3 linked regions of the Ovis aries genome follow. The protein of the gene in region 1 purifies or fractionates together with the protein of each later gene. This does not show direct contact. Links are inferred from orthologs where the notes say so. Each region holds a gene or a part of one and is shown on either strand. Other genes may lie near its edges. The genes, in order: RAB11B, PI4KB and RAB11FIP1.

What was found.
Region 2: the proteins of RAB11B (region 1) and PI4KB purify together in Homo sapiens (co-immunoprecipitation; 3 studies listed by BioGRID and IntAct, with this or other methods). This does not show direct contact. The link is inferred for Ovis aries from reciprocal best matches to the Homo sapiens genes RAB11B and PI4KB.
Region 3: the proteins of RAB11B (region 1) and RAB11FIP1 purify together in Homo sapiens (affinity purification with mass spectrometry; 3 studies listed by BioGRID and IntAct, counting the BioPlex papers as one, with this or other methods). This does not show direct contact. The link is inferred for Ovis aries from reciprocal best matches to the Homo sapiens genes RAB11B and RAB11FIP1.

What each region holds. Positions count from the first base shown.
Region 1 is NC_056058.1:14,762,005-14,766,156, reverse strand, and holds the start of RAB11B (ras-related protein Rab-11B), read right to left. Parts: upstream 2,942-4,152; 5' UTR 2,927-2,941; coding exon 2,887-2,926; intron 1-2,886. UniProt on the Homo sapiens protein: The small GTPases Rab are key regulators of intracellular membrane trafficking, from the formation of transport vesicles to their fusion with membranes.
Region 2 is NC_056054.1:101,206,203-101,209,853, forward strand, and holds part of PI4KB (phosphatidylinositol 4-kinase beta), read right to left. Parts: intron 3,515-3,651; coding exon 3,249-3,514; intron 213-3,248; coding exon 80-212; intron 1-79. UniProt on the Homo sapiens protein: Phosphorylates phosphatidylinositol (PI) in the first committed step in the production of the second messenger inositol-1,4,5,-trisphosphate (PIP). May regulate Golgi disintegration/reorganization during mitosis, possibly via its phosphorylation.
Region 3 is NC_056079.1:32,209,365-32,211,821, forward strand, and holds part of RAB11FIP1 (rab11 family-interacting protein 1), read right to left. Parts: intron 1,506-2,457; coding exon 1,287-1,505; 3' UTR 1-1,286. UniProt on the Homo sapiens protein: A Rab11 effector protein involved in the endosomal recycling process. Also involved in controlling membrane trafficking along the phagocytic pathway and in phagocytosis. Interaction with RAB14 may function in the process of neurite formation.

The sequences.
Region 1 (4,152 bases):
ACCCTTCCGGCACAGCTGTGTCTGGACACCTCTCTACTGCCCAGGCCTGACCCTCTGTAGGCCACGGGGTCGCAGGATGGCCTATGGGGGGAAGCGTATTCGCGTTTCTGTCCACTCGCCATATTTATGGCCAGTGATGCGATGGTGGCAGCTCACCTGCCTGGTGTCTTCCTTCTTTATTTCCCAGAGTCAGAATTTCCTTTTCCTATTTAACTGAGTGGATTCACAGACAAATATTAAAAGATAATTGGCGGGGGGCGGGGGTCCTTCCCTGGTGGCTCAGTGGTAAAGAACTGCCTGCCAGTGTAGGAGACACAGGTTCGACCCCTGGTCCAGGATGATCCCTCATGCCACTGGGCAGCTAAGCCTGTGTGCCACAATTATTGAGCCTGGGAGCCGAAACTACTGAAGTACGCATGCCCTAGTGTCTATGCTCTGCAACAAGAGAAGCCATAGCAATGAGAAGCCCACAGAAAGTAGCCCCCGCTTGCCGCAACAAGAGAAAATTCTGCACAGCAACAAAGACCTAGCACAGCCAAAAATAAATAATAGAGGGTCAAAAAATAATAGAGAGGTCCTCTCACAAGGCATTAAGTGTGAAGGTGAGGTCTCAGATGACCAGACTGGGAACCGCTGACCTTGTGGGTTAGACTGTCACTTCTGACCCAGTTCAAGGTCAGCAGGGCACCTGCTGGAGCGCAGGCGGAGAGGGCAGTGGGGCAGGCAGGCATTGCCCCCTGGGGCCAGTTGTCCCTGAAGTATTTCCAGAAAGAGGACTCAGGAGATGGGTCCTGGGAAGCGCACAGCCCAGTTCCAGTGCCCCTGACCCAGTAACTGTACTTCTGGGAACAGACTTCAAGGAAATAAACCACAGGACAAAAGATGACTCGTGCAAACACTTGGAACTGGATTATTAACAACAACAAATGGTTGTGTTCCGAGTGGGCCTGGAATTAGCTCTCAAGGGTGGCCAATGTCAGCTGGGGAGCCCAGCTCAGCAGCATAGGACCTGATCAAAGCCTAGGTTGGCACAGAATGCTCTGGAAAGTCAGTGACCCCTAAACCAGCCCTGCAAATAACAAGTGAGGAAGGACCACAGAAACACTGGGAGGGGGAATTTCCCTGGTGGTCCAGTGGCTAAGACGCCATGCTCCCAATGCAAGGGGGCCAGGGTTCGATCCTTGGTCAGGGTACTAGATCCCACATGCCGCAACTAAGTCCTGATGCAGCCAAATAAATAATATTTAGAAAAGAAAAGAGACCCTGGGAGGAACAGCCCCTGCCCAGGCCTGCCTCAGCAGTTACACATGCAGGTGGGGGCCAGTCAGCACCTGGGGAGCAGTCCCCTGGAGTAGGCTGGGTAGACACAGGCACCATCTGCTGCAGGACTGGCATCCAGGTCACCTGTCACCCACCCTCAAAGCCCTGACAGAGTGTCCATTCTCGCCTCTAAAGTGAGACCCCCCAGGACTCAGTCAGCACCTGAGCCCAATGCCTGCCGACCACAGAGCCTCACCTGCTGGCAACCTATGAGCTTGCAAGCAGCTCCTGGAGCCCACAATGCTGTGTGACAGAGTGGCACAGGGACTCCCTCTGCCCAGAAACCGTTCACCACTGGAGAGCCCACTTTCTACATCCCCAAGGTCCCCAGAACCCCAGACTCAACCGGGGATGATACCACAGACACATGGTGACGAACACACTACATTCACAGCCATGACCAAGCTCCCCCAATGAGGCAAAGTTGCCAAAGGCTGGCATGGGAGGTAGCATGGCAAGGGTGTCCTGAGTGGGTCTGAAGTTAGCTCTCAAGGGTGGCCAGTGTTGGCCAGGGAGCACAGCTCAGCGGCACAGGACCTGGCCAAAGCCCAGGTTGGCACAGAAGGCTCTGGAAAGTCAGTGACCCCAAAGCCAGCCCAGCAATGGATGCCTGACCTGCCCACCTCTTACTTGAAGCTCCTAGAGCCCTCTGTTCCCTGGCCAAGAAAGATCCTTCGGTAGGCTGGAGGAGGAGGTCTGACAACCCCACTCAGATCTGACAACCCCAGATACACTGCTTAAGTGGTCTGGGTTCAAATCCTGCTCCAGCACATAAACTGTGCCTGTTTCCAGGTTCGTAAAGAGAAAGACTGGATAATACAATACCGACCTCACAGGGTGGTGGCGAGGGCTTCAATGAATTCACGTGTGTAAAGTGCTTAGAAAAGTGCAGGTACTTGGAGAGTGCTCTTAAGAGTTCTAAGAGTTAACCATCAGGTCTGGGTTTAGCACACAGTCCCTAACTCCCGGCACCTCCCCCAACTCAGGTGCCCCTCAACGCATTTCCGACTCCACTTCCCAATCCAGGGTCCAGGCCCCCCCACACACACCTTGACCCCCATTGTTCGCCCCTACCTTCCCGGGCAACCTACAGATGCACTGCCACTAATCAAAACAGGCCCCTCCCACTCGGTGAGAGCACCGCCCCCATTCGCCCAGCCCATTTCTTGGACACGCCCACCACATCCTAGCACCGCCTCTAACGGCCCCGCCCCCATCACGAAGGGAGCTTTCCACTCAGCCCGGCCCGCCAAATGCTGGGGCGGCCCCGCCCCTCTGAAGGCACCGCCCCTAACGGCCTCTCCCACTGCCCGGGGCCCCACCCCCTCTGGGCCCTAGCCCCGCCTCGGCGCATCCCGGGCCCCCAAGCCTCTCTGGGCAGCCGGCCTCGCATGGCCGCGCACCCTGGCCCGAACTTGACCAAGACCGGCCTTCACTGGCTTTCCCGGCTGCCCGGCCTGCCGGGCCCCAAGCTTTGGGCTCCGGCCTAGGCCCAGAGGCCTGAAGCGCAGCCTCAGCTCCTGCCTACTACCGCCCGCTTGCCCGTCTGTGCCCCACCGACCGCACCTTTGAATAGGTAGTCGTACTCGTCGTCCCGGGTCCCCATTGTCCTGGCGCTTCCGGCGGGATCGGCGACTCCGCAGCCCCACCACAAACACCCGACGGGGGCGGAGCCGGCGCCGCGCAGAGCGGCGGCCGAATGGCCAATCAACGGTGGGTGGTGTAGCGACCGGCACCCAGGGCAGCCAATAAGAGACGGAAGCAGAGCCTCCGGGGTGGGCGCCTCCGGAGACCCACCTTCTTCGCCCTCGGTCTCCTGGAGAAAGGCGGAAGGAATGCGGACCTTTCCGAAGTGACAGCTTCACCAGCCTATCAGAAGCGAGTTCTGGAAGGCGGGGCGGAAGACTGGAAGAATGGAACGGATTGACGGGGGGAGTAGCCAATGAGAGGTTTGATTCTGATGGTACCGGGCCATCAGAGGACCTGTCCGGGAAGGGAAATAGGGCTACGTCCAGGTAGTGTTACGCTATTTAACGTCCCGATGACGTCATAGGTCAATGCGCGCTGCTCTGCGGTACGCTCACTCCCACCCTCGCTGCCCCAGTAAATGACAGCTCCTGGAGTCTGCGTGTGGACCTTTTCTTCTTAGAGGTCCCCTTCTTTCTGGGTTGCAGTTTCCATCCCTGCAGTGGCCTCAGTTTCCTCACTCTGTATAACAGGGAAGAAACCTTAGGGAATCTTGGAGTATAACTAGATCATTTACCTAAACAGATACTTAATCTACCACCCACCGTCAGTCATTGGGTCTTTGTTTAACAAATATTTATAAATCCTTACTGGATGTCAGAATCCCACTGCCAAGCGGGAGACGCAGGTTTGACTCTGGAGAAGGAAATGGCAACCCACTCTAGTATTCTTGCCTGAAGAATCCCATGAACAGAGGAGCCTGGTGGGCTACAGTCCATAGGGTCGCAAAGAGTTGGACACGACTGAGTGACTAAACAACAACATGTGGGATGTCAGACACTCTCCCCTTCTCTGTCTCTTTATCCTGCTTTATTCCACATCTCCTCCCCCGTAAGGAGGATTTATTTATCTTCCCTTGACATTAAAGTATGTATTTCCCTCTCAATCCTGTTAATAAACAAAATTCAACTGAGTAAATGTGAAGATCTTATTGCCCTTATTAAAAGATTCATGAATCAAGCAGCATCTCATCTATCAAACAAAGATAATTCCCAGATGGTTGTGGTGTTCAGTAACTCAGTTGTGTCCAACTCTTTGCGATCCCATGGGCTGCAGCACCCCAGGCTTCCCTGTCCGTCACCATCT
Region 2 (3,651 bases), on another chromosome or scaffold:
GTTTGTTCCCACTTGCGGAGAGACTACCAGTTGCCCCTCCCATGACACCACAGTGAGGCACCTCTCTTTCCTCACTCACGTCCACAAACTCCGTGGTCAGCTTGAAGGCTGATGTCTCAAAGCCCAGGTTTCGGGGTGAGCTGGACAGGATGAAGCCAAAGTCGATGTGGATGATGTGGCCTTCTGCATCCAACAGGATGTTCCCATTGTGTCTGAGGAGGGGGCAGATGGGAGGAAGAGACAGTAGGAAGTCCGATTGAGGTGGGAGCTGAAGCTGCAACACACTGGCCACACGACACCAGGCAAGGGCCCTGCCACTTTTCCTGCTGAACTCTGGGTCCAGCCCCTAGAACCCAAAGCTGGCAGGAGGAAGAAAGGAAATTAGAAAAGTAGACTGCTAACAAAGGCAATGGGGTCTCACTTGCTATCATTAACAATAACAGAGTTTTAAGATTATCCCCATTTCCCAATAATCGCGCTTCTAAGCACCCAATCCCAATCTAGTAAAGAACTGGAAAGCTAGAAAAGCCAGCCTCTGCACTCTGGCCAGCTGTCACAGAGGCCAAGCACTTGGCTTAGTGGGAGGCGGCCAGTTACAACCTAATTACCTGTGTTTTGTTTGTAATTCCTGTTGGCCCACTGCAAATCAGAAACCCCACTGGAAGGGAACAGCAATCCCAGGCTGAGTGGAGTTTAAATGTAAAATAGTGTGGGGGCTTCAAAGAGTCAGCTTTAACTGTCTGGTAAAACCACTTATGTAAAAAAATTCCCAGGAGGCAATTCCTACAGGCTAGCTGCATGAAGACAAGAGAGAAATCCCAGGTCTTTGTGATTCCTATATGAATGGCCAGTCGGAGGGGAAAAATTAACATGCTAAGCATGTGAGGCCTGGCCCATAAGGGACCTCCTCAGAGTCAAAAGAGGCTTTGTTAGGCTAAGAGCTCACGGTCTGAGGCCACCTTCTCTGGGGTTGGTTTGACTGGCCAAAAGAAGAGGGACAGGGATAACCCAGTCCCATCTGAGTCTCTACCCTTCTGGGGAAGCATAACAAATTCAGCAACACTCAATCTTGAGAGCCAGAAAGCCCCAGATGTCCTAGTCCAGCCTCGCATTTTACAGGTGAGGAGACAAGCCCTGAGAGAAGAAACGACTGACTTGTGAAAGGCCCCAAGCCAGTGGATGAAGGGCAGTCACGCTTCCCTCCTTAACCGCTGCACTGCTGCAGGGCCCTCATTCTGAAACACTCGTTCGGGGGCCCCTTCACTGCTGAGGCTTCTCACCAGTGGATGAGTCCATTCAGGACTTAACTACCTCTATTCTTTTTTGAGTTATAATGAAAGATTTACCAGCTGCCCGTCTCTTCCTCCACTTTTAAAGGATGGACTCTCATCGTTTAAATATATTAGTTTCCTAAAGAAAAGCCCAGAGGCCTGAGTATCACCTGCTTCCCTGCCCCCACTTACTCAACATAGGGGCTCAGGCTCTAGGCTCTCTGGGCCCTGGGTTCCAAATCCTGACTCTTGAGAGACAGTCTAAAGCTTGGAACCAAGTTTTACTCAGCCATAAAAACGGAATGAAATAATGCCATTAGCAGCAACATGCATGGACCTAGAAATCATCACACTAACTGAAATAAGTCAGACAAAAAGATAAATATTATGGTAGAGTAATAAGTGAACTTATTTACAAAACAGGAATAGACTCACAGACACAGAAAATCAATGGTTACCAGAGGGGAAGGGAGGATAAATTAGGAGGGATTAACAGATACACACTGCTTTATATAAAATAAACAAGAATTTATTGTATAGCACAGGGAAATATATTCAATATCTTGTATTAATCTATAATGGAAAAGAATCTGATAAAGAATATGTATGTGTGTCTGTGTATATATATCCCTGTGACTCGGATGGTAAAGAATCTGCCTGCAATGTGGGAGACCTGGGTTCAATCCCTGGGTTGGGAAGATCCTCTAGGCGACCCACTCTAGTAGTCTTGCCTGGAGAATTCCATAGACAGAGGAGCCTCGTGAGCTACAGTCTATGGGGTTGCAAAGAATTGGACACGACTAAGCAACACACACACACACACACATAGTTTAGTCACTAAGTCGTGTCTGACTCTGCAGCTCCATGGACTGAACCCACCAGGCTTCTGTGTATGCACGCACACACATACATATATATACATAACTGAATCGCTTTGCCGTATACTTGAAACTAACATGATATTGCAAATCAACTATACTTCAATTTTAAACAATGTCAGGCATCGCAGGCACCTAACAGATGCTAGATCTCTGATAAGCGGCTCCGCTGGCTAACCTTAATGTGCTGCCATGCCACTGGGAACCCTGGAAGCACAGGCCACTGGGCTAGTGCTTTCCCAGGACAGCTGCCCTGTGCCCTGAGAGGCACAACTCACAGCTGCAGTCCAGTACTGACCCTGAGTCACTGTCTGGAGACAGTCTTAAAAACAGGGCCTCAAGGGTGTAACAACCTTTGTGTGGTATGTTGTTCACCTATGTGCAAAGACGAGCTTCCTAAAGGTCACATGATACTGGCAGAAATGGCAGCTCTGCGCAAAACAACTTGAGTTTTGGAAATCATATGCCACAAGAGGAGAATTCAGAGCTGGGAGTTTCAACTTGTGTCCACCGTGTCTTTCATATTCATCTGCTCCTCTCTGCTCTCAGTCTCTACCACTGCCCTCACACCAGGCCTCATCACCTCTTGTTTGACAGCTGAAGGTCCACTGATCCACCCTGCCCACAGTGCCACAGGGCACACTCACTCAACACAGACTGGCTCACGGTGTTTCCTCTGCCTGCAGAATAAACCTCCTGGGCCTCATGAAGGCCCTACTAATCCAGCCTCGACTTACGTGACGTCACTGTTACTGTGCCATGCAGTGTGGCTCGTGCTTAAAGGATCTCGAGCTGTTTCCTCTGCCTGGAACATCCTTCCTTTTCCATCCACAGCTTTCTCTGTCCTCATTCTCCTTTGTCTTTCAAGACTCTGCATGCTCAGACCCCTGCTCCTCCCATAAATGCTTCACTTCTTTGCCCCTTGCCCTGGTACTTGTCAGTCTGCCTCCTTGCCTTAACAGCACAGGAATACATCTGTCTCGACCTAAAATGTGTTTGTTTCATCTTCATATCTTGGCAGTGGAAGGTGGTGATGAATAAATGGGGAGACAGGAAACCCTGGAGAAAAGCTAAGGATGAGGGACAGGAATTCACCTACCTGTCCTTGACCTGCAGCAGATAGCAGACCAAGCAGTAGCCAGCACAACTCTGCACAAAATTGCGCTGGGCGCTGAGGAAGGCCTCAGTGGTGTAGCTGCCATGCTCCTGTAGGAAGTAATCGAGCAGGGAGAGCTGCGACTGCTTCTTCACCTGGTGTATGGACACAGCGTTGACCACCGGTTCAATCATGCCACTGTCGGCCGAGATCACGAGGATCTTATATGGCTTGATCCACAGGGGTACTCGCTCCTGTTCCCAAATGGACTGTGAGGAAGCACACAGTGGCATTAAGACTCTAAATGAGAGGATGAGGCCAACATCCCTTCTGTTCCCAATCTCAGACAGTTCCCATCCTTGGTGGCCTTGGAATCTAGGCCATCGAGTAAGTAAAACCCTGTTAT
Region 3 (2,457 bases), on another chromosome or scaffold:
GCCTATGACATTCTCTCCCGAGGAGAGATGTCGGGATTTGATGAGATTCTGTCTCAACTGGAACAACAACAAAAAATGAGTAATATAGAAAACATTCTAATATCGGGTTACTAACAATGAAATTACCTGAAGAGTCTCCAGGGGATCTTCCCAACCCAGGGATAGAACCCCCATCTCCTGCATTGGCAGCAGGATTCTCTACCGCTGAACCACCAGGGAAGCCCTGAAGAATCTGAACTGGTGCTATTAGTTAAGGGGTCCTAGTTTAAAAAAAAAAAAAAAAAGTGTGTCAATCTAGTTTTAAAAACACAGCCATCTAAAAATAGATATCATCTTGCTCTTCACAATGTTATACTAAGGAGGGAAGAGGCCACGAAGAGCTGCCAAGGAAACCAGGGAGCCAAGCGAAGACATGGGGGGAGAGGGCCAACGGACCCCCTGCCATCGCTCCACACCTGGTAGAACCATTTTAGCAAGCGCCTGGGGCACTCGATGGCTAATCAAGGCACTGTCTCGGCCACTCCAGTCACAGGGGCTCTGTGATCACCAGAGGAGGGGTTTTGACCAATTCCCTTGAGTGCAAAGTGACTCTAAGTCTCCTGGTCTGCTTCCCTCCATAGACAGCCCCTCTCCATTGATAAAGAGCAGATTTTAAAGGCTACTGTGGTGTAGAGGCTGATGTCTGGAAAAAGCAGCTTGTTATAAATCTCAAAGGCACACTCTGCACTCCTCTGCTCCAGTCAAAACAAAAGACCAAGTCCGAGGAGTCAAGCACGTTTACAAGGTATCAAAAATTTAGCATCTGCAGCCAAAATGCCAAGCCTGAGCTACTCAAATGCCAAGAAGGTATGTGCAACACAGCCCCAATCGCCTGGTCCTTGTCATCTCACCTGAAGCTTTAAAGACCGGGGGGAGATGTACTTTAAAAATCTCAAATTCAAAGAAAGAAAATCCCAATGTTTAAAATACATTAATTAATACCCCCCAGTGCCATCTGAACCTCTGGGCCAGGATCAGATCTTATGACCATGTCTCCGGTCAGACCATAAAATATTTACAACGTGGTTAAAGGCACAGTGGCATTTAAAAATGAAACCCTGGGAATGGACAGTGAAAAGATCCATTGTAGTCATTGACCTGGCTTACGTGGGTGGGAGGGACTCCTGCCAGATAACCTAGGAGGAAGATGGCAATCTGTGCCCGGCTGTCGGGCACAGCGAGTCCTCGGCCTCAGGAGCTGGTGGAGACAGACTCACGGCAGAGTCTCGATGCTGGAGGCCGGCGGATCACATCTTTCCTGCTTTTTTGCCGACCTGAGAGGGAACCCGGAGGATGTTCGGGGTCTCCTCCATGACCCTGACCAGCAGGTTGTCGATGTAGTCTTCCAGTTGGCGCACCTGACATTCCTTCTTGCTGATCGTTTCCTTCTGTTTGAGGACCAGCTGAATGAGCTCGTCGTGGGTCAGCTGCACGTAGGCAAATGCAGGGTCCGAGGGCTTGTATTTCTTTGGCGGGAGGGCGGGAAGGGGAGACAACAAGAAAATTGACAAAGTCAGCCAAGAGGTCAAACATCTCAGAGAAATACCGGGACTTCCTTGGTGGTCCAGTAGCTAAGACTCCACGTTCCCAATGCAGGGGACCCAGGTTCAGTCCCCAGCCAGGGAACTAGATCCCACATGCTACAACTAAGAGTCCACAAGGCACAACTAAGACCCTGTGTGGCTCAGCTAAAACCTGGCAGAGCCAAGTAAATATTTATGAACAAATAACTAGTTATAAGTAAATAAAAGAAATACAGAAGAGGTAGCTTTTAGTGATTGAGTCTGTGATCTGAGTCTCCTGGGAATTCATTTGCAATTTCAGTGAAAATCTGTGCCAACGAAGCTTTCTGTAAAGGGCCAGAGAGTTAGTATCTCACGTTGCCCAGGCCACAGATGGCCTTTGCTGCATGTTCGTCTTTTGGTTTGGTTTTTTTGTTTCATTACCTTTTCTTTCTTTTTTTTTTTCCTTTTGGCCCTACCACGAGGTTGGTATATTTAACTTATATTTCACTTATATGCAGAGTACATCATGAGAAATGCTGGACTGGATGAAGCACAAGCTGGAATCAAGATTGCCGGGAGAAATATCAATAACCTCAGATATGCAGATGACACCACTCTTATGGCAGAAAGTGAAGAACTAAAGAGCCTCCTGATGAAAGTGAAAGAGGAGAGTGAAAAAGCTGGCTTAAAGCTCAACATTCAGAAAACTAAGATCATGGCATCCAGTCCCATCACTTCATGGCAAACAGATGGGGAAACAATGGAAACAGTGACAGATTTTATTTTCTTGGGCTCCAAAATCACTGCAGATGGTGACTGCAGCCATGAAATTAAAAGACGCTTGCTCCTGGGAAGAAAAGTTATGACCAACCCAGATAGCATATTAAAAAGCAGAGATATTACTTTGCCAACA